Rhinolophus ferrumequinum: one gene and its partners. The protein of the gene in region 1 purifies or fractionates together with the protein of each later gene. This does not show direct contact. Links are inferred from orthologs where the notes say so. Each region holds a gene or a part of one and is shown on either strand. Other genes may lie near its edges. The genes, in order: SINHCAF, RBBP7, SIN3A and ING2.

Region 1 (7,754 bases):
TGAACTCATTCTAGTTTGTCAATGTCCTTCTTGAAATTACTTTTGTTACCAGTAATTTTATTTTTTAAAGTATGCTATTCAAATAAGATAGTAGTAAAAGATGTCATAAGATAGTAGTAAAATACTTATAACTTCTAAAAAAATCAGAGATTACTCTTCCTAAGAATAAATATGTAATAATTCTTTAAGTTCAGAAATTTGAAAAGTTAATTTTGATTAAGTAATAGACACCTTTTTCTAGCAGCTGTCAACGGTTGTCGGAGGATTATTGGATCATATAACCAATTCTATACCTTATAGCTTAAAATTATCTGACTTGCTTGGACCACTCGTTAGGTGAACTTAAAAAGGATTTAAACAAATAGGTAACAAAATACTGTGCTTGTTTTGGTGTGAGGAAAAGGTTTAGCCTTATAGCTATTACCTGCTAAGGAATCAAACCCAATGTTTAATAATAATAATCAGCTCTTTCCTGGGCTCAACAAAAACGTTTTGATGTGGTTGGTACCAGCCTCTGGTGAGGGTATCAGCCTTCATTTAAAAAACAACCATTAGTTTGATTTGTCATTACAACCATTACTAAATTATTGATAAAAACATCCATTACCAAGCAAGAATTGTCCTTTTTGGTCCTTTATATATAATTTATCCTCCATTTCAAAAATATTATAATTGTAAAGTTGCTGACAAAAAGTCTCAAAAGAAGGTAATAAATACTGCAGGAGAAAATGTAGCAAACAAAGTAGAATTATATAGAAATAAATTAGAAGAGGTGAGGGGGCTTGAGCCTCTCTATTTCTGAAATGGTTGTACTATCTGGCATATCGTTATGCTAATTAAATATCTGCTAAATGAATGAAAATGTTCAAGCATTAGGGATAATTCTATAGGAGGGACCATATATTATAAGGAAGGTAATTGGCTTAACTGAGTATCTGGCAACTTATTTTCAATTTAATCTCAATTTTTACTATAATTTCAATTTCAATATTTTTGAGAACTCAGTATGAGTTAAACACTATAATTATTAAAATATTCTCAAATATTTTTTCTAACGTGGTGTAATTCAATCTCCTGTAATCCAAATTTATTTCCTTCCTTCTTCCCGCCCTCCCACCCTCCTTCCCTCCCTCTCTCCCTTTCTTCCTGATGAAAAATTCACTTGGACTACTTAGGTAATAGTATTTTAAAGTAGCCCATAAATGAGCTGTTTGTCCTGGATAGAGTCAGCCATAACAATGCAGTCAAGCAACAAAATGAACAAAAGAACCTTTGGAATGCACCTGGTTGTTCAAAAATAGCAGGAGGTTTTTTTTTTTTTTTTGGTTTTTTTTTACGACTCTAAGGAACTTGAGTTTCTCTTTAAGGATTTTGTTGCTACCTTTCCTACAAAAATTACCCAGATTACTTCTCGACCTCTACTTTGAGAGCAGAGGATGTCTTGCTGTATAGTAGCTCAGTAGCTCTGAAGCTTCCAGGTACTTTATCTGAACAGTATATCCTAAATACTGTAATTCCTGCATTGCTTGAACATTTGAACCTAATTGCATCCTAGGATTACCATATATATTCTTTACATAAATGTTCAAGAGAAGAGGCATTCAAGGTACATTTTTAGATTTATATAAATACATATGTAATTTCTATATTTATATAAAAATATATATATATCCTGTAAGCAATAATTGAAGTTTGAAAAATTGTGCTATTTTCATACTTTCAAAAGCATATACTAATTTGAAATTATTTTTGGAGGATCTGTCATAAAGCAAATAAGTACTTGATACAACCCAGCACAACTTTTAAAAATTTTCTTCAAAAAGAAGTTCGGAGTTTATGCTCAGGGTCCATTTTGCCACCAATGAAAGCCCAAAAACAGTTATTAAGCTTATTCTGTTTTATTTATTATGATAAGGAAAGGCATCATACCAATTGAGGTGAACACTATAACTTCCAGACTCATTTTAGGTTAAATACAAAAATTCTAAAGTTGTTTTGATTTGAGATAAATCTATAATAAATTTGAAAACATCCATTGATTTATTATTTTACAAGGAATTATTCAGAGTTAATTTGCTGCACATTGTGTTATGCACTGGAGTACAAAAATGAATACAATATAAAATTCTTGCCTTTAGGGAGCTCACATTTTAGTGTGAGATGTCAGTTTTTTTCTACAGGTATTTAATATAGAGTTTTCATATACAGTTACAGAAATAATATGTTACAGAACCTAAAGAAAAAAAGAAGCATTTAGTTGAAGATTTCAGAAGGGGGTTTGTCTTATATATATTAGGAATTGGCTGTTGAATTAAATGAGCGGTTCAGAAGCATCTATTTAAATGCACATTGTTGACACTACAATGAAAGCGGTGAAACTTGTCAGCAGATGATTAAGTTTTATGGTTGATGCCCACACGTTTGTAGCTTGGGACCAATATCAAGTTTCTGGGGGGAAAACATCCTTCCTCTCTCCCCAACGCCCACCCCCTCTATTATTAAATCAGCTTCTCAGCCTATTGGTCTGAGGCGTGTTCTCAGAATAAACGTGTATCACAATCATTCTGTTTTTCATTTTTCATGTCAATCTGAGAAGTTACTTCAGTTTTGTTTGTTTGTTTTGTCCTCCTGGGGCAAGAAGCATTTAAATTGTACGTTGACTTGTATTCCATAAGGAAGTCTACATTTCACTGGCTACTTTTTCAATTCCCAAGACCACCAGTTAGTAGTATTTCTGGATGAGTGAAACACTTTATAAACAGCTGGAGGAGGTATGTGCATCCCTAGATTACTGGCTAGTAATCTAGTCTTTTAGAAAAGTGGTTCCATGGAAATTAACAACCCTTCAACTCACACAGGCTTGAAATCTTAAGGCCAAAGTGGAGATAAAAAATTGGATTATTGGGTGGCCGGTTAGCTCAGTTGGTTAGAGCGTAGTGCTAATAACACCAAGGTTGCCCGTTTGATCCCGGATGGGCCACTCTAAGCCACAGCCTCCTTAAAAAAAAAAAAAAAAAGTTGGATTGTTATGGGTTGGGTTACCGTTTGAGGAGGGCAGGCGGGAGTTAGTGAATGGATTGAGGGTCAAATGGGACTTTATTAAACGACTCATTAAAACCACACGAAAAATAAACCTCTGCTGGCCCCACAGGATTAAACAAAGCTTCAAAAACCCAACTTCAAACAAAATCTAGGAAACTTGGGGGATTTATAAATTCAGTCTGGGCGCTTGCAAGACCACTTCCTCTAACACTTCAGCACAGAAACTGGGCACAGGTGTGAAAATTTTGCAAAAACACCGTTCAAAACTATTTTTCAACGCGAAATAGTGCGTCCTAAGAACTTCAGGGTGGAAAGCACGTCACGCAGTCTAGTGTTCTCCCTCTGTTGCTAACCTTTCCGCCTTTCCCATCCCGCCACTCCCCCTTGGCCACAGCCTCCAGACAGGAGGCGTTTGTTTATGTGACGTCAGCCATAGTAAGCAGTCTCCGCCCCAGTTTCCTTCAGGCCGCCGCGTTTCCCGCGCCACGGCGCTTCTCCCCTTAAAAGGACAATAGAGGCCCCGGGAGCGCGCGCGGCCGCCAGGCCTTCTCTCCTCCCCGCCTTCGACGCGCGCGCGCCCGTATGCAAATGAGTTCAATTCAGGAGAATTTTGCTCCGGGAGCCGCGCGTGCGCAGAGGGAAAGCGGAATCTACACCTTCCCGGGCAGCGGTAGCAACTGCAGAACTGCTGGAGACAATCTTTCTAGACAAGGCAGTTGAGGAGGAGGGAACGATTGGAGGGGGGGGTTGGCCTGGCGTGCACTCCGCACTTCGGGAACGTTATTGCGCGTGGAACGGTTGCCTTTGGAAGGTGAGTGACTCTAACCATTACTCTGGTGCAAAACTGTCTCACAAGGCTTTGATTTCAGTGGCTTTTTTATTTTTTATTTTTTCACCTCACCCCCCCACCCCCAGTCCTTCCATACACACACGAAGTTTTGTCTTGGAGATGGCATTGCCGGCAGTGCAGTTTTCGTGATTTTGAGACCCCATATTCTTTTGTATGCACACGTTTAGTGCGTCTTTTTTAATTGAGGAGGGGATTTAAGGCAAACCGAAAGTCTTGGGGTGGGGGAAGTGAGTGGAGCCTGGAAACGAGTGCGGAGTCGCTGGAGTTGAGGGATCCACGTTGAAGGTGACAATGACTTTTCTCAGTCGCAGCGTTCTCAGGCGGAAAGGAGCCCGGTGGCTAAAAGGCCCGAGAGGAAAACGACTCGCTGGCAATTGTGGAGGGGCCCGGGTCTGTGCATCGCGTGGGCGCGCGCCCGGGAGTGGTCGGGCGCCGTAGTTGAACCTCGTGGTTTAGTTTATTGCAGCTCCTTGCGCGTGTTTTGAGAAGGGTGGACCATAAACGCCATTCGCTCGGAAACTAAGTTGTCTACTTGCGAACTGGCGGGTTTGAGGGGGTTTAAATCGGCCTTTGGGTCGGTGCCGGGGTTGCCGAGTGCACGCGGCGTGGCGTTGTTTGCCGAACTCCGGAGGGATGCGGATGCGACAATGAGAGCAACACGCGGCCTCTCGGAAACAGCCGCGGCTCCCACACGCCTGTTCTCCCCCGACCGCGCCCAAGCAGCGCTGGTGTCCGACGTGTCTGTGGAGCCTCAAGTTTTGTTCGCAGTGTATTCACCTGTAGCGTAGCTGTGGGCGCCACGGCGAGGGCTTTCTAGGGCGACCGTGTGCGGCTTAAGATGGCCAGTCAGAGCCAGTTGACTTGGGGATGGAGTCAGCGGCGTTGTCTGCGCCCTAGGAGTGAGAGAACTCCGGAGGGCACTCCTTTTTGTGCTGAACATGACAGACCACGTGCTTGGGGCTGCGACCTGGTTTTCTTCGGAGTGTCCAGCTCCAGGTCAGCAGTGAGATGCAGGCGCTGTCGGGTCCGGCCGCCTGGCAGGACAATGTGATTTGCTGATGATGGCGTCTTGCCAGTTTAAAAAGCAGAGTGAAAGTCGCCAACTCCGCGCGGTTGCGGGGCGGGTAATCCGGCCGTTTCTTATTAAGGACAGGGCAAACTTTGATGAAATGGGTTTGCAGCCGAGGGGAGGACGGCAGGACAGGGCTCCGGACTCTCGGGCGCGGGGTCCCAAGCCTTCCCCGGGGTGATCGTCAAGTGTCTCGTCCCTGGGAAACAATCCGACATCCTGATGCTGCACGTAGGCAGCGCCGGGCTGGACAGAAAACAAAGAGCTGCATGTGCCCATGCGGGCCCCGCTGGCGCTCAGGGCGGCTGCGGGCGGAGGGCCGTGCCGGCTGGGCCCCCCGAAGTTCGGGCGAGTTTCGGGAGGGGCTTTTGTCCCTCAGCCCCTCGCGGGGAAACTTTGGCGGCACTACTTGTGTGAGGTGCCATGCTGGTGCACGGGGAGGCGGCAGGCTTCCGCGCTCCGGGCCGGCGGGCGAGGGAGGCAGTGTCTTGGGGTCCTGCAGCTTCAGCCCCAGCGCCGCATACCGCGACGGCTCAGGGGCCGGGAGATTGTGGCCCCGAGTTCTTGGCCGGTTACCCGCGGCCCGGAGCTTGAGTCTGGGAGGTCTGTGGATTCGCCTTTGAAGTCGAACTGTTGCCATGTTTGAATTACGTCAGGGTAAAGCCATGAGGAGGAACAAGCCCCGGCAGCGCGGCGTGCGGGAGGCGCGGCCTGCGGGAGGCGCCGGGCTGGGCGGGCGGCGGGGAGGGTGCGGGGGCCCGTTGTTCCGGCGCAGGTGAGGGAGGAGGAGGGACGCAGTTCACCTCCGGCTGCCCTCGCCAGGGCCAGCAGCTCTCCACGGGAACTTTCTTCCCGACCAAAGTTGGTTTATTTACCAACAAATCCACCCGGGAGCATTTGTATTTGCTGCCTTGTTGCCTCTTTCTCGGCGGTCACCGCGTGCACAAGGGAGAAGCGCAATTTGGGGAGACCCAAAGGCCGTGGGCGGGGACCCGACGGCCGTGGGAGGACGGGAGAGGCATTTTGCTGCTTTCGGGGAAACCGGTGAATGCGGCGAGCACCCCCAATCCCCGCAGCTGAGGCTTGGCTCGCACGTTCAGGGAACCCAGCCCCGACGACACACGGAAAACCACCGTGAGGAAGTTTCGGGGCTCTCGGCTGTCCTACAAAGGGAAGTGAGGACTGTGGCCGAATGGTGCACGCTGCTGTTTTCTTTGTGTGTTTATGAGTGGGAGGGGGAACCGGGAGGGGCGAGGTTTGTTTTGGTGGGTGGGAGGTTTCTTGGGGTGGTAGGGAGGTGCAGAGTTTGTTCTGGTAACTGTGACCCTAGTAGGTTTCTTTGTTTTTATTTTCTTCCTCTAACCCTCTATTGCTAGACGAGGAATTAACGTTTAGTCAAGGGTGGACACTGTGCGACACAGTTTTACCCCAGCAATCCTTTCCCCGAGCTCCTCATGTTGTCCGAAGGAAGGTTAAGAAAACTCCCCCTCCTCCCATTTTCTTATAATTATTTAAAAAATGAATTTGACCTTGTCAGTAAAACTACCCTGAAAGCACCTGTTTTTGAACTTGAGTTTGCCACACTTGCCTTTGAATAATTTTCTGTTGCAAAACCTAACACGTTTATTAGTTGCTCAATTTAAATTCAAGCCTGGGAGTTTGTTTCTGGTGGAGCTGGAGAAAAGCCTGATGGCATTTGAAGTATTTTTATAATAATTTGGGGAAGGGCGATCTTTCTTGGCCCTGAAGGTTTGCTTGGCTCAATGTGTGGTGATTATTCACTGCATTATCTTCGGATGACCTTGAAGAAGCGTGTAAATAAGGAGTTGGGCCTTTCTTGGAGATTAAATATGGGGGTTGGGAGGAAGCTGCGAGGGGGATGACAACAGGGCAGTGGCTCGCCTTCCCTGCTAGCTTCCTCCTCGTTCCTGTGAATTCGGTTGACCTTCTGGTTACCCCTCTTGGATTTTCTTTTCATAGCTAACTTTTTTTTGGGTACGTTGCCCCAGGCATAGCTCAAAATTTATGCTGGTTTGACACATGGATGCTTCTTTGGTATTTAGGGTTTGCCTTCAGTCTAGACATCCGATAAGCAGCAGCACCATGTCGGTTGCATCTTTCCTGACATCTCCTACATTTAGATCATATTTAAGGGTTAGAATCTAAAAGTGGTCATTACTGGAAAATAATATCCTCAGCTGCCACGCCCACACACAGAAAAAAATGTACAAATTGAAGTCTGTTTTGTACTTTTCATTGTTTTGTTATTAAATAAACTCATTTCTCCTAAGTTTTGCTTGGCCAAATTACAAACACCTAATGGCAACCAATATTAGTAACAAACAGTACATTTCTGAAGTGAGTAGATAGCACGTCAAAATGAAAAACTTTGGATTTAATAACTTTATGGCTCCCCTTTGGGCAGTTATTACTCTGGGTCCTGTTTTTAAAATGCATATGAAGTATTTTGCGAATACATAGATTCTTTGTTTTTCTTAATTCGTATTTTATAGCCGAGTTCCGGGTAGAATTTAAATATTCTGGGATATTTTCAAACACAGTATATAGAACTTAGTGGGTTTTGTTTTACATATCATGATGTGTACAGTAGAGATTTTGTTTATCAAGGTGGGTAAGTTGAGAGTGGGAAAGACACACGAAGTCTCTCTGCTGCCTTTCCTTTTTGCATTACTTTTGCTGGAGGTTGGAGATGAGAGTTCAATAGGTAATATATTCTAGAACCTCAAGGCTGCTGTTGCACAGTATACTTAATTCTGTAGATCTGGAACCTGG
Region 2 (7,809 bases), on another chromosome or scaffold:
CTATGGAGCCCTTAAAACAAAAGAGCATATCTAAACATGCTGATAGGAAAAAGTCTCCAATATAAATCCCTAACTAAAAACTCAAGCGAACAACTTGCTACTAGAGAAAAAGATGGGAGGAAAGATATATGTAAGTACTTCATGCTGGCAGGATGAGTAAGAAATTGCAAACAACTGACTCCACTCTGGGTAAGGGAACTAGGAGAATGTGGAAGGGGGATTTATTTTTCACTCTATGCACTTTCGTACCATCTGAATTTGAATGACTGCAAAGCTTTTTAGGTAGAGATTAAATTAGTCTCAATACATTTAAGAAATTATTTAATAAGGTAATATAAAATAATGATCTACCAGTTTTGAAAAGTAATTTAAGAAACACCTAAATAATTTAAAAAGCCAAATCAATTATGTGGACAATTACCTAACTCAATTTAAGGACAACAGCTCAGAAAGTGCAAGTAATCATTCAGAAGAAGGTTGTATGTAGGCAGAAGGCCTTGTGAGGTTGAGTAGGGTCGAGTTCCTCAAAGACCCAAGCCGTAACAGCAGCCAACATTTCTACTGCTCTGTATAGTGACAAAACACAATCACAGTCCCTTTATACCCCAAAAAGAACCCTGCAAAGCACACACAGCAATCCTCAACATCCAAGAATGCAGGCTGGCTGGCATTTTCTTGCATTCCCAGAGCCACTGCACGTCCCACAACCAGATCCCACTTCTTTGCATGCAAAGAACACCATGGAATACATAATTTACTTACAGTATTTTCTGCTAAGTTCTTAAGTGTTCATATAAAAGCAATACCTGGACTGAAAACATACAGATCTATTATCTTTAAAAAAATCTTTATGCAAAACACATTATAGGTACCATTTTAAAGACTTCAGTAAGCAGCTTTCATTGAAATCCAAATGGAGAAACAGTGTTACTGCATCCTCTCTAACAAATTATTTCTGAATAGGAGTCAGCACCAGTCACTGCTGTGTACTTACCCTGCACCAGCACTTTAACATGCATGATCTTATGTAATTCCCTCAAATGTAAGCAGTCAGTACAATCAGCACCTCCATTAACAGACCAGACAAGTCAGGGATAGAGACTGACCAACTCGCTCTAAATTCACAAAGCTACTAAAAAGGGGGAGGATTCAAGCTCAGGTCTCTAACCTTAAAGCCCTCACTCTTTGCTATTGTTATAGTCAGTCAAAAAGCTCCAAGAGAATGTAAATTAAGAGAATGTAAATCCGCTTAATAGGAAGACTCAAAGAGTCAAATGCACAGGAGTACCCTTAAGTAACTGATGCTCAAAGTTATTTTAAATGTCAACGTTTAGAAGTCTCCATTATTTAGTTCTTGGCTACTCTTCCCACATCTATATTTTTACCCTGAGATTTCTTTGGGAACTTAAAAGGAAGCCCCTAACTGTATGGAAGTCAATGTTCATATATGGAGAATCTGGCCATTATGAGTAATTTTATATAAAATTAACTTACTCTATTTTTGTAACTTGTTGCAAAATCCCGTTCTAGATTAGAGTTTGATTAATCCTCATTAAATTATATGCACACAATACCCAAGTTTAATACGCTTCTAAAGTGCACGGTCAAGTTCCTACAAGAAAAAGTCCAAATGTATGAGGAAGGTTGTCTAGTGCAGGGACTACCTGAACTCTGGGGCTACCTTTTAGATTTGAAAGCCCCTCTCCACCATTTGCCATCTGTGCGATCTTAGGCATGTTACTTAACATCAGTAAAACAAGGATGATAAAAAGTAATCAAAGTACTTATTCTCAATACTAAACCAAACAACAGAAGGTAAAAAACTGTAGATGTGCCAGGCCCTGTTCTAAGTGCTCAATAAATGTCAGCAATTATTACCAGAGAAATTTTAGAAATAGCTGAAAACAAAACACGCTTATGAAGACCAACAGCAACCTCAAAGTGTATTTCATACTGTAAGCCAGTAATGTCACTTTTTTTTTTTTTGAACTGTTGCTAAATTCTTTTCCCCTTTGCTAATTAAAACGTATGCATCTTGGGGGCTGGTTATATGGGTGTGTTCACTTTGTAAAAATTCATCAAGCCACATGCTTATGATTTGTGCACTCTTCTGTACATTTATTTTTCAACAAAGTTTGAAAGAAATCCATTCATCTGGGCCCAGAGAGATGCTGTTTCATATTTAAGCCCAAGAAATGTTAAATATATCTGGTGCTTCCAGCAAATATCATTAATCTCACAACAGATTCTTTCTCCCACTTCAACGCCACACTTATACATCAGAAATCATCCCATAAACCGCTTGTTAGTTTTGAAAATAAAAAATCACCTGCCACCTCATCCAAGGGCTAAATTGATTACATGCTTATGTTCTACATAGAAAATGCCAAAAGTAGGAAATTCAGGCCAACAGTGAAATTTGTGCAAAATAAAAGTTGCCAGGAACCCTTACTTAGTCACTTCAGGAAGCCACTGAACGGTAAGACTTGGCCACTGAAGAGCATGGGTCATAACCAGGTCATACAGAAACGGTGTATTCTTCTTCCAGATTTTATATTCTTCATTGATGACACGCTCCTCCACAGTATCTTCAAACACTGAAATTTGGAGAAAGCCCATACGATTAAAGGGTTGAGAGGGATCGAAGTCAAAACCTGTACACAGATACTGGAGGTCACCTCGAGAAGGCCACACCTAATCTACTCTTTCTCTTTACCTCTAATTTGGACTCGAACAACTAACTGCTCTTCCAGAACATGGAGAGAATATTAATACCAGGAAGCTGATTTTTTGCACTTTGAGATCAATATCGCCTGCGTATACAGAACTGGGTAATTACACGGACGTCGAAATTGTTTTGCCGATTACAGCCGTTCGCACCTGTTCTAAGATGACGACCCGTTCGTAGAGGGGCTCCACGACCCACCCAGGGAGACGAATCCACGTGTAGCAGAAAGCCACCGACCCGCTCCCTCCATCCCCCACAAGAGGCCTCCGCTCCCACAAAGCCGGCTTCGGCAGCCATAGACCGGCGGGTTCCAGAATTCCCCGGACAAGGGCCGCGACCCCGAGGCGTCGACGCGCGCGTGGAAAGAGCCGCCGTGCCCGCTTTCCGGCGGCGAAGGCCGCCTCCGCTCGGGGGCCGAGGGCGACGGAGGGAGCGCCGCCGCCGGAGGGGGGGGCAAAAGGGGGGAAGGGGGCCCAACCCGCGGCCCCGCGCCCGACTCCGGAAGTGCTCAGAGCCCTCCGCTCCGCGCCGCGTCCCGCGTAGGCCCCTGGAGGCGCTCGCCCAGCCTCGCGCCCGGCCCCGCCCCCTGCTCCGCACGCCAATTCGCGCCTTTCGCCGGCGCGTGCCGCGGCCTCGCGAGCCCGCCGCCCCCCGCGGCCCCGGCGCGCGCCGCCCCGCAGGGCCTCTTACTCTCTTTACTCGCCATCTTGCGTCGGGTTGTTCGCCCCTCGCCGCCGCCTCGGACTCCCCTCGCTTGCCAAGAGCAGCCCAACTGCAGGCGCTCCTGCCTTTCCCAGGCGCGCCACACGCTTCTAGTTCTCGAAGCCTGAGCTCTGTCTCACGGCCTGGGTGCTCCCCAGACGCCGAGTCCTTCTCTCCCGCCTCCTCCCCGCTTACGGGTACCGAGGACTGAGGAGCTCTTCTCTCTCTCTCTCTCTCCAAACTTGGAACGAGACTTTTCAACCCGCGCCTCCCAGCCCGCCCAGGCAGCTGAGCGCAGGCGCACCCGTCCTGGGAAAAGTAAGAGGCGGTAGAGAGGCGGGGTTGAGAGCAGACGGCATCGTCGTCTCGACCAATGACGTTTGATAGGTAGGTTTCACGCGGCGTTTGGAGGCGGGCTTCTGAGGGTAGGCGGGGCGTTCCGCCACAGGAAGTTGGCGAGGCGCAGGCGCGAGGACTCGCCCTGCGCTCCCAGGGCCGGGCGTGGGGGCGGATGGGGGCGCGCGGGGGTGGGGCGACTGGAGGCGAGGCTTGCAGGCTGCGCGGGGGCTGCGAGCCCAGGAGGCGAGCCCTGAGGCCGCGGGGCGTGGTTGCTTGCAGCGGCCGCGGCGGTGGGGGTGGAAGGGGGGCAGGGAGGCTGCCACCGCTTAGCCAAGCAAAATCTCAGAGCGAGAGAAGAAAATGGTTTCTAGTCTCGAGAGATTACTGTGCCCTCAAAGTCTCCCCGATAATCATGGGCATGCAATTCTGTGCACCCCGAAAGGTTTCCCTCCTGCCGACTGGCCTTTCCTGAGGCCTGGGCGAGCCTAGGTGGGGTTTGTCGGAGGCAAAGGGGACTTTTTGCAGAGGCCGCGGGCGTTTTGTGAGTGCAGAAGACGGCGGGCCTCCCTGTTAGGTTAAACCTGTGGCAGGCCGCCAAAGGCCCAAAGCTGACTTGAATTACATTTTCGTTTGTTCACACGTTTGGGTCCTTCAGACGATGATTTGCAGCCTCTCTTGTATTCAGAGGATTTTGTCTCTGCACTGGAGTTATTGTCTCCTTCCCAGCCCCGGGCCCCTGCTGAGTCATTCTTAGCACCTGCGGGGTGTCCCAGGGCAAACCCACCCGAAGCTGGCCGGGGAAAGCTGCGCGAAACTAACCTGGGCTGGCTTTCCTGAGCCCTCCTCTGCCTGGGAGCTTGGTAGCCCCTGAGGAGTGCGTTGGGGTGAGGAGAAAGCGGGCTGCAAGGCTAAAAGGGCCCGGGGCAGAGGGGACGGGGTAGGAGGAGGTGGTCGTGGTGCTACGTGCAAAGGGAACAATAGTCTATATCCAGACTCCGAGAGAGGCTCTCCCTGCATAAGCATCTCGCGGAACATTTGCTGCCTTGATATTTTCCAAGTGCCTTCATGCAAGTCACCATGGTGATTTTCAAACGAAATCGTGCATTTGCCGCTGTGATGCCCACTTTTCTGATCGGGAAACAAACCCAGACGTTAAACCTAGTCGGTGGCAGAACCACTCATATTACCTTATATAGAAATTTACTGTCGGGTGTCTTTGGTTTCCTATACGATATGCCTTCATGTCAGGCCCAGGAATCTTAAAAGACCAAAGCCGAGGAGGGGAGGCGCTGGAGAGGGAAGACAGTTGGGAGGGTGTTTAAACAATACAGCCATGCTCATGTTTTAGGATACTCGTTGGCAAACGTTTCTCTAACCAGATCGTATTTCAGGCTTTGGGGGCAACCACTCAACGGCCGCGTTGTAGCGAGAAAGCAGCCCTGGATAACATGGGTGAACCTGGCTGTATTCCAATAAAACTTTATAGACACTGAAATTTGAACTTTATGTAGTTTTCATGTGTCACAAAATATTCTTTTGAATTTTTTCAACCACTTGAAAATGGAAAAATTTTTGGCTTATGGACCATACAAAAACAGGCAGAGGGTTCAATTTAGTCGGAGGACTGTAGTTTGCCCACCTTGTTCTGGAATAATTGTGTCTTACAGCTGTACTTCAGTGGGTACCTCCTCACGTGCACAGCAAGAGAAGGCTTGGCAGACGATTTGATTTCCAGTCTCCCTTTAATATATTTTACTTATTTCTGATGGGTGAGCATGATTTCCAAACCTTATGAAATGTTTAAAGAGTTGAAAAATTTTACCAGACGATGTTGCTTTAAAATCTTTGTACTGTTCAGTTCACTGAGGGTCAGAGAAGGGAGTATGAAGCAGATACTTAGGAGTTTCTGAAAATATGCAGGCACTATCATATACTTAATCCAAAAGTATCATGTACAGCATATTGCATTAGCTGTGTGTGTGTGTGTGTAATCTATCAATTCTGTTTCTCTAAATTTTTTTTGGTCTTTTTTCCAGTCAGGTACCTTTTTTGCATCAAAAATGTAATACCAGTTTTCTCTTTTAAATTGTTTTAACTGTTCAGTTTTGTTTTTTGCCTTTCACCCCGACTTCTTAGCTCTGGTCCTCCTCTTTTCTCCCACTTTCTCTGTGGTTGCCTTTTTGTCTCACTTGCACTCAGCTTAGTCTACTCGTCGAGTAAGGCACCAATAGGTACATGCACAAGGTGTGGGCTACCTTAACTGAGAGAGGCCCTATTTAGGCACCTACCTTTCTCTAAGACTGCTTACCTCAAAGTTGCTGTAGTGTTAACCATCATTTCTCCATGCTGATGGTGTTTTACAGACTAGTACACTTTTATATAAACTGAAACAAGTTACACCAAACAGTGCTGACCTTTAATATGTGTGATGCACGCTGGTATTTTATTTCATTTTTTAAATATGCAAGTTACCCTTTACATTAATTTTGTGATCGCACTTAGTCACAACTTGGAGTTTGAAAAACACAGGACGCTAGGATAATTTTGAAACCTCTAGCTAGTTGCCTGAACACCCTTTATAAAATAGTAGCACTCCCTCATCTTGCCCCCACAGGTAATCACTCTCTGTCCCCTTTATGTTTTTTTCTCATAGCACTTATCATAACCTGACACATGTTTGTTCATAGGCTTTCCTCCTACACGAGAATGTAAATTGATGGCAGGATCTTTGTTTTGTTGTATTCCCGGCACCTGGGCCAGTGTTTACTAGATGAGGAAGCTCAGGCAGAGAGTGGTGAAATTTCTTGCCAAGGTCACATAGCTAGTGAGTGTTGGAGTTGGAATTTGAATTCAATCGGTCTTATATTAAGACAGCAAAAGTGATTGTGTTAGAATGAACTGCTTACCAAAAGGAATGAGAGAGGGAATATCCCCAAACATGGCTGCCCAGTGATTCTGTGTTCATTAGCATCCCTGTCTCACTAGTTTTTGGAGAAAATCTTAGCCATTCAGAAATATTTTTGAAGTACCTACTGTGTGCCAACTGGTGTTCTGGAGATACCTGGAATGAACAAGACATATAGAGCACCTGCTCTTTTATACATTCCTTTATCATTTGATTTTCTTATTGCAAACCAAAGCTCATTACAGAAAATCTGAAAATTACACAAGCAAAAGAGGAGCATAATGAAAACCAATTTTGTTTCTGGCCAAATCATTTTCATTCAAATCATTAGCAGCAGCAGAAAATACACAAACACATTAATAGCCATTGTCTCTTGGTTACCGGTATTATTGTGGATGATGGTTGTTTTATTCATATGTTGCTTTATTTAAAAATTTTCTCCAGTGGACAGGCATTACTCTTATAAACAGAAAAACCCCCATACATTTTAGGAAAAAATGTATAAACGAATGGTAGAAGAGTAATGCAGACAAATGAAAAGTGTTGTCTTAGTGTGATAGAATGCTAAGTAATTTCTCTTAAAATATTGTTTAATGCAGTTGTGTGAGAGAGAGCTGAAGGAAAATTATTGTAAAGTAAAAACTCACTGTACTTGTTTGAACCTATACTTTGTTTTCATTTACTATTGTGATATTTAAGTAAAGTGAAGTAATTGTTTTGTACTTCTAAGTGTGTTAATATTTAATCTTTGTAGGGTGTCCCTCTGGATTTCTGAAAGGCCAACTTACCCTGTTGTGTTAGCTGCTAATGTTAAGCAATGTGGGCTTCTCATTGGTGACACTGAATAAAGCAAATGACCTAGACCAGAATCCCTGGGGCTTAGACTTAGAATCACTGGGGCGTAGTAAATAAATATTTGTCAAACAGAAAATATTGAATAGGAAACTCCTCCTGGCCTCATCCCAATCCATAAGCAGTGACAAGGAAGCTTCACATGTGAACCTTCTTTTAGAAAAATTGCTCTGAGCTTTCCAGCCCAAGCAAGTTTTAATATACAATGCATTGTAATTTACAAGTGAAGACCGCTTCTGCAGTTCATTGTAGTGAAAATTTATTGTTAATCGCTGGCCATCAA
Region 3 (7,729 bases), on another chromosome or scaffold:
TGCAGAATTAAGGACTGGAAACCAAAACTGAGAGTAGCCCCAGGGGTTGCCAACCTGCTGCACACTTCCAACACCGACATTCCCTAAACCTGAATGAGCAGTCTTAAAAGGGCGGAGACAACCAAAATGAAGGAAGGTCCCTAACAGCCACCGCCCTGGCAAGCCTCCGGAAGGCGGAGCGTGAAGCGTAAGGCACTTGCGATTTCCAGGGAGGCATCTTCAGACTCGAAGAACTGAGGAAGGGGGTCAAACAGGCCATGGCATACATAAACCTTCACCCCACACTTCAGAGAAAGGATAAAAATTCGAGTTGGGGACAAAAAATAGTAAGAACGGCTGTTCACCTTCTCCTCGGCCGAATATTAATGGCAGAACATAGACCCTCTTTGTATAGGTTTTAGTGCCTCGAACACACAAAGTGGTTGCAGTGCCTAGGTTGCTTTTATTTATTCACCAGATAGAGCGAACTGACCCTGTCCTTGCTTTGGAGGGCGCTCACGGAGCGCCAGGAGAGGAGGGGGCGGGACTAGAGTTTTCCCGCTCTCCAGCAAAAAGGCCCAGTCCACAAGTGGCAGGCCCCAGGGAATCTCGGTCCTCCTATCTTGTCCTCCCTACGCAAAGCGGAGACGCAGAAGCCAGCGCTGGCAACAGGTGGGCCTGACTGCAAGGGTGGCTTCCAGCCGCAAGGACAAGGCAGCTAACTGTGAACCCCACGAGCAGCCGACAAATGGGAGCAGCCTTGCCGGGAGCCAAGCCCTGCCCCAGGACAGAACTCTAAAAATAAGTAATACCAACTAAAGCGAACCCCGGGCCAAATCCCCCGGAGGTTTCGAAGGACTGGCGCTTCTGCAGAACAGACCAGGGGCTACCTTTAACTCTGGGTCGTCTCCACTCCCTGGACTGGGTGCACCACGGCGCTCCCACCTCATATCAAGAACCACTGCGAACCCAAGCAGGATTCGGCCACCGCGCCTCCTCCCCCTCTCCCCCCCCCTTGGCCTCCTGACTTCTCTGTCAACAAGGGATGAGTTGCCCTGGATCCAGCCTAAGGCATCCAGGCCAATCCTAGATTGCTTAGTTTTAGATAAAGCCAGCTAAGGACAGCGGTTGCCTTGCTCTGGTAAGAAAACACACTGTCAGCGTCCGTAGCGTTCTCAAGCTTGAGCTCAGGGCGATCTTTGGGAAGTCAAGGGGCGCGGGAATAGCCAGGCCGCAGTCAGAACTTTAGTACTCGGCCCGGCAGGACAGATACCACCCCCTGCAGAACACAAAGCTCTAAGCCCCTAAAATACACTCCACACCCTCAACCCCTAACTTCATCGCAAAGGCTACTAGATCTCGAGCCTTGGAGGATCATTGTTATCTCGGCTCTCCCCGCCCCGCCTCGCCAAAGGCTCCAAGTCCGGTACTTCCGGGCGGGAGGACAGTTCGAAGAAGCAAGGCGGGTCTCACACGTGTGCCTACAGCTCATACAACCCGGGAAGGGGGCGGGAGGCAGGGGTGGACTTCCCCCTCCAAGCTCGCTACGCCGGAGGCGGGACGACATCCCACCAATCAGAAGTAGGGGCGGAACCTTGCGTGTCTCGTAAGCCGCAGGAATCCTCCCTCCGCCCTTCACGGAAAAAAATCCTAGCAACTTAAACTCCAGCCCGGCCTCCGATAGGCGGAACTCGGGAGAATGTCATCCAATAGATAACCGAGAAGAATAAAAGGGAGCCGCGCCCAACCAGTGGAAGACAAGAGAAGGCGGGCCCTCTAGAAGAGTCCAAGGTGGGTGGAAGACAGGAAAAGCTCCGCCCCCCAGTTCTCCGCGCCAGTTGCACAAGCCGTCGTCGGAGTAGATACGTAGTAAACAGGATAGGCCAAGCAGTGGATGACGGAGCGGCCGGGCGCTCTGGGGGCTCGGGCCCCTACTCCTCGCCCGGAGGCGTTCCGACTGACGGCAGCGGTTCGCGCCGGAGCCCCACCTCCCAGCCCGCGGCCGCCATCCCGGCTGACAGGCGCGCCCCTCCCCTCCCGCTGATGCATTTCCTTTTCCCGAGTCCGAGCGTGGAGACTGTTTTCCCAGTTTCCGACCTTCACTGCCCCTTTCAGGCCACCCCCTCGTGGGCGCGCTCGCACGCCCGCGCCCCCGCCCCCGCCGCCTTGGAGTGGGCGGGGAGGGAAGCAGCTCCTTGTTTGTGGGATCAGCTGTAGCAAGGGTCGAAGCCGCCGAGTTGCTGGAGCTTTTCCACACCGCCGGGCCGAGTTCCGCGCGGGCTCGCGGCCTGACTGGTTCATGGGCCGAAGGCCGGCTCTACCACCACGGCCCACGAATTCGGAACGCCTAGACCTACGCGAGGGGCTCTTTCCGGTGGCCTCCCCGCCCCCGGCCGCCCCTCCTGCCAGGCCTGCGTTTCCCCGCCCCCAGAGTCCATAACAACCGCGGGCCCGCGGCGCCCGCGCCTCCCCGGAGCGCGCCCACCGCCCCTTCCGACAAGTTTGCGGATAGAAACGAAACCCTCGGGGCGGCTGCCGCACTCGCCCGGCGTGGTTAGCGGAGAAAGCTGCGGGCCTCAGCTCGCTCGCGAACTCCAGCTCTCGACCCACTCAGCTTCGGAGGGCTCAGGCCGCTGCCCCCTGCCGAGCCCGCGCGCCGCAGCTCCGGTCCGGTTCCAGTCGGTGTGCGGAGTCCTTTTTTTTTCCCCCTTCACAATAATTTTTTTTAAGGCGTTTCAGAAGCATAGGGAGATCCTCTCCTGCCCGCCCCCTTACCCAGTCCGCCACAGCAACCTACCGAAACTGACTGCTCGGTGAAATAAACTAGGCAGCACGGTCAGCGTACTGGCTACCCCGGGCCGGGCCGACCCCCTCCCCACGGAGCCCCCTCGGCTGGGAAACACTGGCGAGCGGGCGGCGCCAAGAGCTCTCCTTCCTGGCCTGCCCCTTGCCTTCCTCGGACTCCGAGCCTGCCCAAGCTCCGTCTCGGGGCCCGCGGCGCCCGCACTGTGTCGGACCGGCCAAAGCGACCGCCCGGCGAACTAGCCCCCCAAACGGCGGAGATTGGGGAGACCAAATTAAAAGCAGCTGTTTAACATACCTTGCGAGCCAGGCGAGGAGTCCTGAATGGGGGGAACGCCCCCCACGGACCATTGGCTCCCAAGCGCTCGCGTCAGTCACCATCGGCCCGCCTCCTCCCCTCGCCCCACCTCTTTCCTTCATTGAACTCCCCCTCCCTCCAACAAATATATATATAGATAAATTAACCGTGCGTGGGAGGCGCATCTGTGGGAGAGGACCCTATCTCTCCAGCACCGCTGCCTCGAGATTCTTGAGGCTCTTGGACTGGAGGGAGACCTTCTAGGACTTGATCCACAGGGTGGGCTGGGAGGAGGAGCCAGTGAGGGTACCCCGCCCCCACTTCCTACACACACACACACACACACACACACACACACACACACACACACACACACACACACACACACAGGCACGCACGCACGCACGCACGCGCGGTACGTGGGGGGGTAGAAGGAGGCTATAGAGACACCCTAGCGACTGGCTGGAATGTCTCAACTCCCCTGGCGGTGTAACCTAACCGTGTATGGCCCATTCTGTTAGGCGCCTGCCTTAAAAATGAACTGTGTAAGCGGTAAGTCCTGTGTTAAGGGCAACAGGCACTTGTCTGAGCACTTACCGTGGGTGAGGCGGACACATTCATGTCGCACCCGCTGCTGGGTGCGATTACAGAGAATAGGCTGCTCACGGTGTACCTTACCAGGGCTCCAGACCCGGCTGAGGAGATGCTACAGAAGAGCTAAAGCAAGGCAGAAATGTATGTATAGATATCTTAGATATCTTAGATATCTTATCATAGGAGCTCAGAGCAGGGAGATTTTTTTCCTAGCTGGAGAAAACTGGGAAAGTCTTATGGAAGAGGTGGCATTCAAGTTGGGTCTTAATGATTTCATCAGGCAGAAATGGAGGGGCGAGTCATTTTCAACAACAGGCACCAAAGAGTAAATGCAAGACACTGTTAAAGGCCTCCCAGTGTGGTTGTAGTCATGAAAGTCAGGGTTGGAAAGATGGAACCAAATGGCAGAAAACTTTAATACCTGGTTAAAATTCTTGGACTTGCACAGTACAATGTGCAAGCAGCATGGTCACATGACTACAGGCTCAGAACTGTGGTGTAAGATGCTCAGCATCCCAGCAGCTGAGGGTGGGTTGAGTGAGGGGTGCCTACAGGCAGCAAGGTAAGGCACAAAGGCTGTTGTAATACTGGGTTTGGAGATTGCAGAGGTACATCTTCTGGTGGGAGAGGTAAATGGGGGGAGTCAAGAGGTTTCTTTTGTCTCTCCCAGCCACCCAATCCTGAAAGCCTTCAGTAGACCTCAAGTCATAGCTCTGATTCAGATTCTTCCTTGAATCATTTGCAGTGTTTGTCTTAACTTCCAAAAGGAGTTTCTGGGGGGCAAGGCTCAACAGAGCTGAGCCTGAGGCCAGGACACGCAATGAGTGAAGACCTATTAAAGAAAGGAAGTGTAGATGAGATGGTGTGTGCAGCATGTGAGAGCCTTAGAGTCCTGTGGTCAAAATGGGGGCTGCTGTCCGTTAGGCTGTCCCAACATTTCAGGTGAGCTGTAATATGGACTTGACCAGGACAGTGGCAATCGGTAAGCAAGGCTGTTTCAGTGTGGGTAGTGGAGGGAAAGGGGTCAGCGTCCTGCTGTGTGAAGAGGGAGAAGAGCTTGAGGCTACTGGTTAGGTAATCTGGGTTCTAGATTTAGCGTGGTCAGTAACTGGTGATACATCCTTTGGCAAGTCCCTTCCTCCCTCTGGGCCTGTTTCCCCAACTCGGAAAATGGGGATGGAAAATGGAGTTGAAAGACAGGCTCAAAGAACCCTTCCCCACTGAAAGTTCATGGGGCTGGGGGTCGGATGGGGAGGGAAGTTTGACACTGAGAGGGGGAAGGTGGGAAGAATTACTGATTAGGGAAGGGCAGTGTGTCCTAAAGTGGGGACTAAAATTTGGGTGGTAGCTTGGTGGAATCATTGAGGGAAAAGGTATGGAAGGGGAAAGGCCAGGAGCTGAGGACTGTGTATTCAGTGGGAGGCCCAGCACCTGGCAGGGCCACGGAGGTTGAAGTCCATTCTCAGACTGGGGGCTCCCTAGGGTGAGAACCAATTTTGACTATATCAGAACAGAGATCCCCCTGATATCTGGGGCCCTGTCTCAGATTCCTGCTCTATTTCCCAAGAAGCTGTGACCTAGATGAAGGCCTAACAGATACCGTGTGAATGTGAGATGAGACAGAGTGGTAGAGCAGAAAGAACATTAGAAGTTGAGTCCCATGGTTCCCACTTAGTCTCTCATCTGTGGCTCACCCTCCTGTGCTGTACAAGAAGATAACATAGCAATCCTTGCTCCGTTATGAAGATCAAATGGAATGATATTTAATACACCTCGTGAGGTTCTGAGCTTCTGTGGAGGCCAAAGGCCCAAGCACTTGACTGTAAGCCTGGACAGCACATGGTGTACTGTGGATGAAGTTACTTAGGGAGTATTTACAACTAGAATAGTTAATCCCACTCAATATAACCAGATTTTGCTGACATTCCCTACCTTCTGTGTGCACCACCCTGGTGGAAATCCCCTCTAGAAACCCCCCTGGATTGTGTACCTGTAGGACAACCACTAATTCACCTCGGAGCCCCCAGTGCCCAGCAGTCAGGCAAAGGAGGCCCCTTGGAAAGGAGACAGCAATTGTTTCTGACTCAGTACACTGATGCCTGCATAGCAGTGAGGACCAGGCTCTGGGAAAGCATTTGATTTGGCGACATGAGCCCTCCAGCTGCACCTAAGTTTGCATCCACCCTACCTATGCCCTACACTGTCAGTGAGGACAAACCAGCGAGTGGATGTGGGTGAGGGCCTTCCTTGGAGAGGTCACACTGAGAAGCCAGGTTCTGAGTCCCAGGAGGCCTCCTTTGTGTGAGTTAGGGATTACTATCCTATTTGTAGTTGAGCAAACTGAGGGTCAGAGTAGTAGAGTGACTTGTTCAAGTCAAGTAGCCAAGACTGTCTGGGCCCAAAGCCTGAGCTTTATCCATTCCCCCATATGTTGTCTGTACACACTAGGCCCGTGACCAGGCTGAGGTGTCTGGAGGAAAACAGCCTCCCCTCTTGCTCTACCCTTCTGAACTCTAAAAGTAGTTTGTTCCCAGATCATTCCAAATGATTTCTGGCCCTTCCACAAATATTATCCTTGAAGAAGCAAGATCTGTCTTCCAAGCACATACAGTGTCTTCAGCTCACATATACTCAAAACTGTCACACCTTCAGTCACCATGCCTCACACGTCTCTCTCTCTCTCTCTCTCTCTCTCTCTCACACAGTCATTCACAGAAAGGATTCAGTTCTTTAGGGTGCTTATGGTAGGTGGCTGAGATGTTGAGGCCTGCACGTCAGTGATTGTAAAAAGGGTGTCACTGCCAGTGCCCTGCTGACAGAGCCTCTGCCAGCTATAGACCATTGCCAATTTGGGAATATCCAGATGAGGGGCATGAGGCTTGGTCCCCACCCCCAACCCAAAGCATCCTATAGGTACGTTCAAGGGGAAAAGCTCAAGCTATTGGTCAAAATCCATTTAGCCACTTCCTAGCTGGATGTCTTTGGCAAGTCATTTATCTTTTCAATCTTCTTGTCTGTAAACTAAGTATTCCTACAGCATTGGGCTGTTGGGAGATTAAAGTATGCCTGGCATTTAGTCAAGTTCTCAGACCTTTTCTTCTTAATCCTATGGCCGGGCCACTGAAATGCGACGCCTCTCCCTGGTGCTGCAGTCTGAGGAGCCAGGACAGGCAGAAGGACCCACTGTGTGAAGAAACTCCATTTTTCAGGCTTAGGGTGTACATATTCTATGCTTCTGCTTTCCGGATAGCTTTGGAGGCTTGGAATCTTGTAGTGGGTTTGGAGATTGCCATTCACTGCCTTGAAACGTCTTCCCCTCACTGAGCATTAACTTACCCCTCTGGGCCACTTCTAGCCCAAATCTAGAAAGTAGATAAAACACTATGTTCCCCAGTTTACCTGACTTTGTTTTCAAAGTGTTTCCTTTTGTGTATCAGCTAATTTTATTGTAAAGCACCAGGTTCCTTTGTTCCAATGAAACAGTAATCAGAGGCCTGGCACATGAGAGAAAAGGGGGGCCATATTCGGTTGGCGACAGCCCCAGCTGCCTGCTGCCTCTTCCTTCACCTCCCACGCATGCCCCTTCTGTCAGTCCCTGCCCCAAGGGCCACTCTTGAACCTAGTTCCCAATCCCATTCATTCATCCCAGCCACTCCCCTCTCACCAGACTATGAGAACACAGCCTGGCCTTGTCCTTGGTTACCTCTATCTATTAATCAATCTTTCACCGGCTTTTCTTCCTCCTTCCTCCCCTAAATGTTGGTGGCTCCCAAGAGTTTCTTCTCTTCTTGCCCTCCTCCTTCTCTGCTCTCACCCACTTCCAAGGATCCTAGCTTCTATCTAAATTAAGTCTCCAATTGACATCTTCCAACACAGAATCTGCCTTGAACATCAGACTCCATACATCCACTGGCTGCTGGCCACAGAATAGGTATTAAAGGTCAAGGAAGGAAAACAGAGACCCCACAGGATAAAGTGGCTGATCTGGGCTCAGCTGCACATCTGGCCAGTCATGAGGTTTGGACAACATTAGCTTAGGGAAGTTGCCAGGTTCTG
Region 4 (8,078 bases), on another chromosome or scaffold:
GAAAAAATATGAAGCTCAAGAAGTAACAACCCCAGACTTAACTCTGCCAGATATGTATGACTCTGCCATTTAAGCATTTTCTACTAAGCTGCATGGAAGGTACTTGAAATTAAGTATTAAATTTTAGTTCAAAGGCTATTTACCCAAGAAATTATGAGCAAAAATATTGGAACAACAACTGAGGGTCTCTAATAACCATATCCCATAATAAATAATACTTCATTCAATTGTAAAATTTTCTTCATTTCTCTATTTTTAAGTTAAAATTACTTTTAAGGTTCTTCAGTAATTTCTAAAAGTGTCTCAGAAAGGTAGGAGAGAAATTTCTTTGACTGCCTATATAATTTATATCAGTAAATACTGCTGTGTTAGATCCAAAAATAGAAAATACTTAAGAACTAGCAAAAAAATAAAAAAAATGAAATCTGAACCAAGAATACACAAATATATACAGCTCATACAGATAAAACTGTGAAAGCTGAACTTAGTAAGCATGTCACAGAGTGAAAACTAGATTGTTGTTTTTATATTGATCTTGAAACTAACCACAATCTTAATGGAGCTAAAAATTTTACAATCTCTCAATCTTTTACGATTTAATGCTGTTTCTCGTGTTACCAGAACTACTTACAGCAATTCTAGATGGTCAAAATGGAAGATTTCCTTCTAACAAATTGTTGCCCCCCACCCCCATTTCAAATAAAAAGAAATAGCTTAACTTTTGTGAAGGCGAATACAGTCTTTAAAGAAATGTAAAAACCTGCAAACTTTACACACTTCAGACCTATTATTATTCAAAAAACTAAAAATGTTCAATATACAATTATTCAGCACATATGTATCATTTTTGGGTTACAATGCATGTACTATATGTGTTCCATGACTGTAGGAAATACCTTTGGTGACCTTTTATTTTTTAAAAAAACAAAAAGTTAAAAGAGTTTAAAAACAGGGATGTGCATCTGAAGAAGCCAGACTGTGAAGTCAAATATTCTCCAACTAATTGGACAAGTTACTTTTAAACTCCTTGTAAATTATAATTTATCCATAAAATGAATTTCAACTTCATAGGATTATTGTAAGAATTAAATGAGATGATGTTCTAGACCTGGCACAGCGATTGCAACACAGTAAATAATCAGTATCAGTTCTCTTCCCCCCAACAGAGATCTGTCCTATCAATCACGGATTCAAACGGCAGAAATAAATTACAGATTCCAAAGCACAGAGACCCTTAAATTTCTAACATGCTAAGGGCCAGAAATGTCACCCGTGAAGTGTTTTCCTTAAAAACTAAATCATAAGATTAACGACGTGGCTAGAAAGCAGAGAACAGGTCCAAGAAGTCATCTGTTTAAAGTCCATATGGCTGCTTCCACATTATGTCCAAGGTCTGGTTCCTTGATTCAGGGTTATTAAAAGCACAGTGGCTCTCCATTTAAACTTTTCCCCTCCTAGTAGCAGGCGAAAGGTCCACCTCTGTAAGAAAGGTTGATTCCTTGTCCTGGCTTTTTGGGTCTGACCACAAAGCGTGGTTTTTGCCTCATGATTTAAACTTGGCAGAGGAGCGACCCAAGGGTTAAGGGACGCCAGGCGGTTGCCCAGTCAACCACCCACTTCCTCCTGGGTCCCGGAAGTAACGCAAGGCCCGGAAACTACGAGGAGCCAGGGTTAGTGGCGGTCCCAGGAGCTGACTGTATCCTCATCATAACTGAGTGGTTGGGGAACAGTCGGAAAATCACGACCAACATGTCCCAAACCCCAATACTGACTCTGCTAGGGATGAATTAAGGTCCTGCACAGCTCCGACGCCCTCCCAACCAGACAGCTCCGCCCAAGCCTTCCTGCGACCAGCCATTTTCGAGGCGGGCAGGAGCGCCCGCGCCCCTCCTATGTCCTACGTCACGCCTTCAGGCCCCGCCCCCAGGAACAGGGGGTGCCCTCCCCGACACACACACACATACACACATACACATACATACACACACACACACACACACACTCACACACACACATCCCTCTTCCTTTCCCCGCAGGGACCCCTCCCGTTTTAACCATGTGGCTGAAGCAGCTGGGAAAAGGGTACGGCCCGGAACTTTACCTGGGGCGGGAGAGGAGTACGGACTCTCCGATTCCCGAGCCCGGAGCCAGAGAGCGGAGGGAGGGACCTCCCCGAAGTCCGCCTTCGCGGCCCTCTCTCCCCTCCTCCCCCCGCACGTTCCAATGTATCTGCTCTCAGGGGGTGGGGGCCGAAGGGGGCTGAGGGAAGCCAGGCCCCGGAGACAAGCGGGTGCCCGCCCGCTCACTCTACGGCCCTCCGCCCGGCTGCACGCTCCCTCACCGAGGCAGGAGGGTCTGCGGCACGGGGCAAGCCAGTGCCGAAACAAATGCTTGCTGCTTAAAATGGCTGATTCCTCTTCACGCCAGCTGCAGCCGCTGGGTCTGCAGCGGGGGCTGACGAGCGGCCCCCACCCCCACCCTTGAGACCCCATCGAAGTCCTCGCCGACCGCAGCAGGGGAAGGGAGGGCCGCGAGCCCGGTCTCCCGTCCGTCTCCCCCGTCCCACACACTAAACCCCCTCTGTGCACTCGAGGAGACAATCACAGGACAGATGGAAAGTGTCACTTCCCCGGGCAGAGTCCGAGCGACCGTGCCCGGAGGCCAGAGGATCCGAGTGAGGGGAGGATCCGCACAGGCAGCCCCGCGGCCCCCTACCTTGATATTTGTTGTCCAGCTCTCGCAACACAGACACGTTCCTCTGCATGTCGTGGGGCAGCGACTCCACACACTCGAGGTAGTCCTGCACATAGCAGGTGAGGAGCCGGCTCCGCTCCCCGGTCAGGAGTGCGGCCGACGAGTAGAGTTGCTGCTGCTGCTGCTGTCCTAACATCCTGCCGTCGCTGCTGCTCCTCGCCGCCGCCGCCGCCGCCGCCTCCGCATCCAGCAGCCACACATGCAACAGTCACGGCCGCGGCGGCTCCTCTGCTCCGCAGCCCGGCGCCGCGGGGACACCGGCAGCAGCTCAAGAGGGCACAGCCGAGTCCCCCGATCTCCACTCCCCCCAAAAGAAGCCCTCACTCCCCGCCCCCGCGGTAACAAGCCCAGGGGCGGGGCGAGATCAGGGCTCCCTCCTTTTTGCCCTCCCTCCCCAGGACTAGAGCAGCGGGGATCCCCCCAGCGGAGCTGGCGCCGGGGTCCCGGACTTTGACACGTCCTGTACCCCTCGGAGTTCCCAGATGCTACTAATGCCTTGTCGTAGCTCAGATCCCCATGACAAGCCGCTCGCTGCCCCCTTTTCTCCCAATCACCCTCTGTGCTTGTCGGAGTCTCTCACTGGACTACCCCCGCCCCTCCTCCTGCGGCCGCGTCTGCGCCTGCGCAGGACTCGCTCCTAATAAGGCCGGGGGCCCGCCCCTACCGCCCTACACAAGGGTTCGCATTCTCCCGCCTTCCCTCCGCCACCCGGGCGATTGGTCTGTCAACTCTCGGCCCGAGGGGAGGGTGCGGAGGAAGGCCAAACGGCAGGCTGCGCCCCGCCCCCTTTTAAAGGAGAAGCACTGTCAGGCCCTCCCCTCTGCCCAGTATCTGAATGGGACTGGAGGGGGACGGTGGCTGACTCCTTCCTTCCGTCCTTCTCCCAGGGAGAGGGAAACTTGGCCTGTCTCCCTCCGCCCGGTATTACCGACTTTTTCCTCATCGGTGGATCTAGCGCGGCCCCTCGCGAGCCTTGAAAAGACCAGCAGGCTGCTGCTTTTCGCCGCAACCTGGAGTAAGGCCTGCGGGAACTACGCGACCCAGCGTGCAGCGGGCGCAGCTTCCCGCATGCGTGGCGGCTGTGTTCCCGCCGGGCCGCTGCAGCTCGCTTCGGCCGCCACTTCTGCCTTGCCCTCGGGCTCTGTCTCTCCAGCCGCGGCTTTCGGGCCCGCGGGGCACCGGGGGCTGATCGCGGAGGTAGGCGGCGCACCCGCGAATCCCTGCGTTTTCTTTTTTAGTCAGCCCGCCTTTTAAATTTCCCTCCTGGCTTAAGCGTGCTTCCGCCCTTCCTCAGACGCGGGAGGTCGCCCGGCGCCCAAGTGCCTTGCAGATTTTGTCCACCCTCCAGCTCTTCAGGAGTCCCGTTTAGTTCTGGCTGCGCCTGCCCAGGAAACGTGTTTAACTGACAGACAACCTTTAATTTAAAAAAAAAAAAAAAAAAAAATTTCCGTGAGTCAGAATGTTTACGCATTAAACGTCAGCGAGGGCTTACTGGCGGCGTGAGGCACACACCACCAACTTTTTATATGTTTTTACTCTAAGACTTAAAAAATACTGAGGGGCCTGAAGGAAGAAGGGGGTATAAACGAAAGTAAAAAACTAATCCGGATTCAGACCCACGGCCTTAACTACGTGATCGACTGTCAGGGTTTAATTTCTCTAGTGTGAAATGCCACGCAGAGGAGCTTATTTTAATTCCAGGTGGACTCTCACTATATGTGATAACGTGTTTTTGAAAGAAATGAATGTAAATAGAACGGATACACTGATAATTTTAACGGAATGCCTATGTAAACAAACCCTATTGTGAGTAGTACCTTTGAGTTAAAAAGAAAACGTGAGTGGGTGATAAATTTGGATTTCCTTGTATCTGGTTTGTTTGCATTGGTGGTACTCCTCCTGTACGGTGACCTGTTTAGAGCATTTTTGAAACAGCTGTTAATAGTAAGTAACCACTGACATGCAAAAAGAAATCTACATCTTGATCTAGAGGAAATTTTACATTTCTGCCCAAAACAAAGCACTCCGGGAAATGCGACGTCTTAGGAACAAAAAAATAACTTGCACAGTACGTGGAGATTGTCTTGTGTTATTTTATCCTGCGACACTGAGGTTTCGACCACTTGAATATTAAGTCAACCCAGGCAGTACAGTGCATTGCATTTCTGAGAACCGTCCAGGGATTTTGTTGCCATTCTTTAAATCTTTCAGATTAAAGTCAGGTCTTGTAAAATACCAGTCGCTGTTAAGAATTGAGTTTTATTGCTTTTTACCTGAACCCTACTGTTTTTGTTTACTCATAGATTTGAATCAGCTAGTCTTTATTGAAGGGCCAAATTAATGCAAGATGCCTTGTTATTTATCGATTCAGGTTAGACATTGAATGCACCTACCGATTTTATTCAGCCTGAAAAGTGATCTGCAGGCAGTAAGACACATGGTTAGAAAAAAGAAGTGAGAAAAGGCAATGAATGATTCAAAATACCTAGAGTACTCCCTCTAGGAACCTAGAGCCAGGTGAGAGGAAAGAAGGGTGAGTATGGGAATGGAGACCTTTTATAGCGTTTTTTCACCATTCAAAATTCTGTTGAACAGGCTGAAAGGAACCAAATACAAAAAAAATGATTTTTCAGTTTGTGTTGGTCTAAACCTATAAAGAACACTCTAAGACAGTAATATACATGTGTATGTAAATTATGTCAGACATGTGCTTTTCTTGCTATATTAATTTATAAAAGTTAATCAAAGGCTTATTCCTGCCATCCTTGTGAAAGCAGACTGTGGGGCGAGTACTTACATGGAAAAAAATAAATCACCGTACTCCCCAAACTCAACTTTTGACCTTGGTTATTTATCATGTCCTTTTCTTCTCAGTAGTCACTTAACTGGAAATTTGGGGCCTTTTCTGATGGGGTTCCTTTACTCTGTTAAATGAAATATTTAAAAGTATCCAATTCTCTGCAACAAAGAAGTTAATTGGTTAATTAAAGAAGTTAACCCTATGAATAAAGCAAAACAGGCATCTTATTTGCTCTTCAATATATTTTCTACTATAAAGTAACCCTAAAAAAAAATAAATAACTGGGCGGCCTGATGGTTCAGTTGGTTAGAGCGCGAGCTCTTAACAATAGGGCTGCCAGTTCAACTCCCACATGGGACGGGGGACACAGTCCCCTGAAACTAAAGATTGAAAATGGTGACTGGACTTGGAGTTGAGCTGCACCCTCCACAACTAGATTGAAGGACAACGACTTGACTTGGAGCTGATGGGCCTTGGAGAAACACACTGTTCCCCAATAAAAAAAAAAAAAAGGTAAGTAACTGACACCCTAAATTGGTAGAAGTGTCTGGGATCACCTTTAATTTCTAAATCAGTTACTTCAAGATGTCCCTGGTAGGGAATGTTTATGTCTCTAACCCTATGTCCTGTTGCCCTTATTTATACTGTTAGAAGGCAAAGCAACAAGTTCAAACTCGGACAACAAACTAGCCAGTAGTTCTGAAGGATTCCTAAAGATATCTCCTGAGAAAATTCAGCTCCTGCGCTGAGGCAGGCCAATTAAATTTGAAATCCTTTACTTTTTTCCACTTTTAAATACTTTTTAAAAACTTTTTATTATGGAATTTTCAAACACACAAAAGTAGAGGTACTAGTACAATAAATCCTAATACACTATTCACCAAGCTTGAACATTTACCAATATGTGGCCAATATTATCTATAACCTCCTTACCCTTGCTGGATTACTATTCTTGTTATCTGTAAATAGAGGGATAGTAGATTAGGGGAGAGGGGTTATCAACTTGTGAAGGGTATAAATGTTAAGTGTCTATTACATCGTTTTGTACACCTGAAACTATAATAAATAAAATAAATTTTTTTAAAGATAAAAAGGATAAGATAATTTTTAAAAACATCCACAATACTGTTATCCCATCAAAAAATGAGCTATTACTATCATGTACTATACAGATAATTCAAATTTCCCTATTGTCTCAATATCTTTTTACACTTGGTTTGTTCAACAGGAGCCAAGCAAGTTCCACACTTTGCATTTGGTTAGTGAGGTCTTTTCTAAACCAGCAAGAGCAGTTAATTCCTTATTTAAATCAGTGAAGCAGATAGCAACCTTTTTCTAACAAAGATATTTGGATGGTTGAAAAGCTCTGTTAAAAATACAGGGAAAGTCAACAAAATCACTTCAAACAAAATCTTCAAATTAGAAGGTCAACAATTGATAGTCCGCTGTAGAAATGTAATTGTACCTCATGCAACTGAAATCCTTGAAAATCTAGGAGTTTGTATTAATTTAGAGTACACGTATAAGGTCTAGAAGGTTCAAGGAAGCATTTTGTACTGAAAATAACCTAAAACTTTAAATCAATTCATTAGTACAACAAGCAAAAAAAATACTAACGGTCTGTGTTTCCACTAAGCTGAGTTTTAAAGCATGTTTAATTGCATCATTGCATAAGTAGTACACACTAACTAGAAAAAAATAGAGCTAAAATGAAGATACATGAAAATCACTGCAAATGAGATAACTTTTCTCAGTACCTAAGTGTATTCCCAAGATGTAATTCCATTTCAGTTTTTTGCTTTAAGAAACCACTTTGGCTACAACTAAAGGACAAAATTAAGAAAACACCAGATTCTGAAGATAGAATATTAGAAATCTGAGCAATGTCATCCTGTATATTTAGTTAGTGAGGTAGACAGCACAGATTTAAAATTGGTGCATACAATCAATCCTATGGGTTACAGTACTGTTCAGCATTTAGAATGACTAACAGCAAAAGATCCTAAAACATTATGAAGGGGCTGTGAATGACTGGGATTGTAGTCAAGAGAAAATTCAGTATAATAAAATATCATTCCCATAACCAAGAAGAAAAACACGTATTATCTACTTTGGCTATGCCAGAGAGAAAAACACACACACACATATGTTATACTTTGCATATTGCTGACCAGAAAAACACTCAGTTTTCCCTGGATGGTTACCATAGTTACATGAGCCGGTTATAACATCAAGAGGGGGAACTAGGTCACAGTATTGAAGGAGTTTGAATTATGCAATTATGTTTCCTAAAAGCAGGGGAAAGGGTTTCAAATTTAAGGAAGAGAGATTTATACTATATGTTCAAAATTGAAATTGTTGTCTAATTTTGCTAGTGAAACTTAAAAATTGGTCCAAAATTAAATAGCTGATATTGTAGATACCAACTGTAGACTCATTGACATTTTATAGCTAAAATTAATTTTAGATCACTTATTTCCCCAAAAGAAAGGAGAGCAGGCAACAGCCTCTCTGAGTGAATAGT

Evidence for each region.
Region 2: the proteins of SINHCAF (region 1) and RBBP7 purify together in Homo sapiens (affinity purification with mass spectrometry; 3 studies listed by BioGRID and IntAct, counting the BioPlex papers as one, with this or other methods). This does not show direct contact. The link is inferred for Rhinolophus ferrumequinum from reciprocal best matches to the Homo sapiens genes SINHCAF and RBBP7.
Region 3: the proteins of SINHCAF (region 1) and SIN3A purify together in Homo sapiens (affinity purification with mass spectrometry; 4 studies listed by BioGRID and IntAct, counting the BioPlex papers as one, with this or other methods). This does not show direct contact. The link is inferred for Rhinolophus ferrumequinum from reciprocal best matches to the Homo sapiens genes SINHCAF and SIN3A.
Region 4: the proteins of SINHCAF (region 1) and ING2 purify together in Homo sapiens (affinity purification with mass spectrometry; 3 studies listed by BioGRID and IntAct, counting the BioPlex papers as one, with this or other methods). This does not show direct contact. The link is inferred for Rhinolophus ferrumequinum from reciprocal best matches to the Homo sapiens genes SINHCAF and ING2.

What each region holds. Positions count from the first base shown.
Region 1 is NC_046293.1:40,580,890-40,588,643, reverse strand, and holds the start of SINHCAF (SIN3-HDAC complex-associated factor), read left to right. Parts: upstream 1-4,499; 5' UTR 4,500-4,830; coding exon 4,831-4,888; intron 4,889-5,754; exon of another isoform or gene 5,755-6,136; intron 6,137-7,754. UniProt on the Homo sapiens protein: Subunit of the Sin3 deacetylase complex (Sin3/HDAC), this subunit is important for the repression of genes encoding components of the TGF-beta signaling pathway.
Region 2 is NC_046284.1:113,990,261-113,998,069, reverse strand, and holds the start of RBBP7 (histone-binding protein RBBP7), read right to left. Parts: upstream 3,230-7,809; 5' UTR 3,026-3,229; coding exon 2,881-3,025; intron 2,598-2,880; coding exon 2,453-2,597; intron 1-2,452. UniProt on the Homo sapiens protein: Core histone-binding subunit that may target chromatin remodeling factors, histone acetyltransferases and histone deacetylases to their histone substrates in a manner that is regulated by nucleosomal DNA.
Region 3 is NC_046289.1:99,846,646-99,854,374, forward strand, and holds the start of SIN3A (paired amphipathic helix protein Sin3a), read right to left. Parts: upstream 3,170-7,729; 5' UTR 3,080-3,169; intron 1-3,079. UniProt on the Homo sapiens protein: Acts as a transcriptional repressor. Corepressor for REST. Interacts with MXI1 to repress MYC responsive genes and antagonize MYC oncogenic activities. Also interacts with MXD1-MAX heterodimers to repress transcription by tethering SIN3A to DNA.
Region 4 is NC_046287.1:78,002,575-78,010,652, forward strand, and holds the start of ING2 (inhibitor of growth protein 2), read right to left. Parts: upstream 3,271-8,078; 5' UTR 2,891-3,270; coding exon 2,716-2,890; intron 1-2,715. Other genes in the region: uncharacterized protein LOC117021196, read left to right, coding at 3,271-3,951, 4,049-4,123. UniProt on the Homo sapiens protein: Seems to be involved in p53/TP53 activation and p53/TP53-dependent apoptotic pathways, probably by enhancing acetylation of p53/TP53. Component of a mSin3A-like corepressor complex, which is probably involved in deacetylation of nucleosomal histones.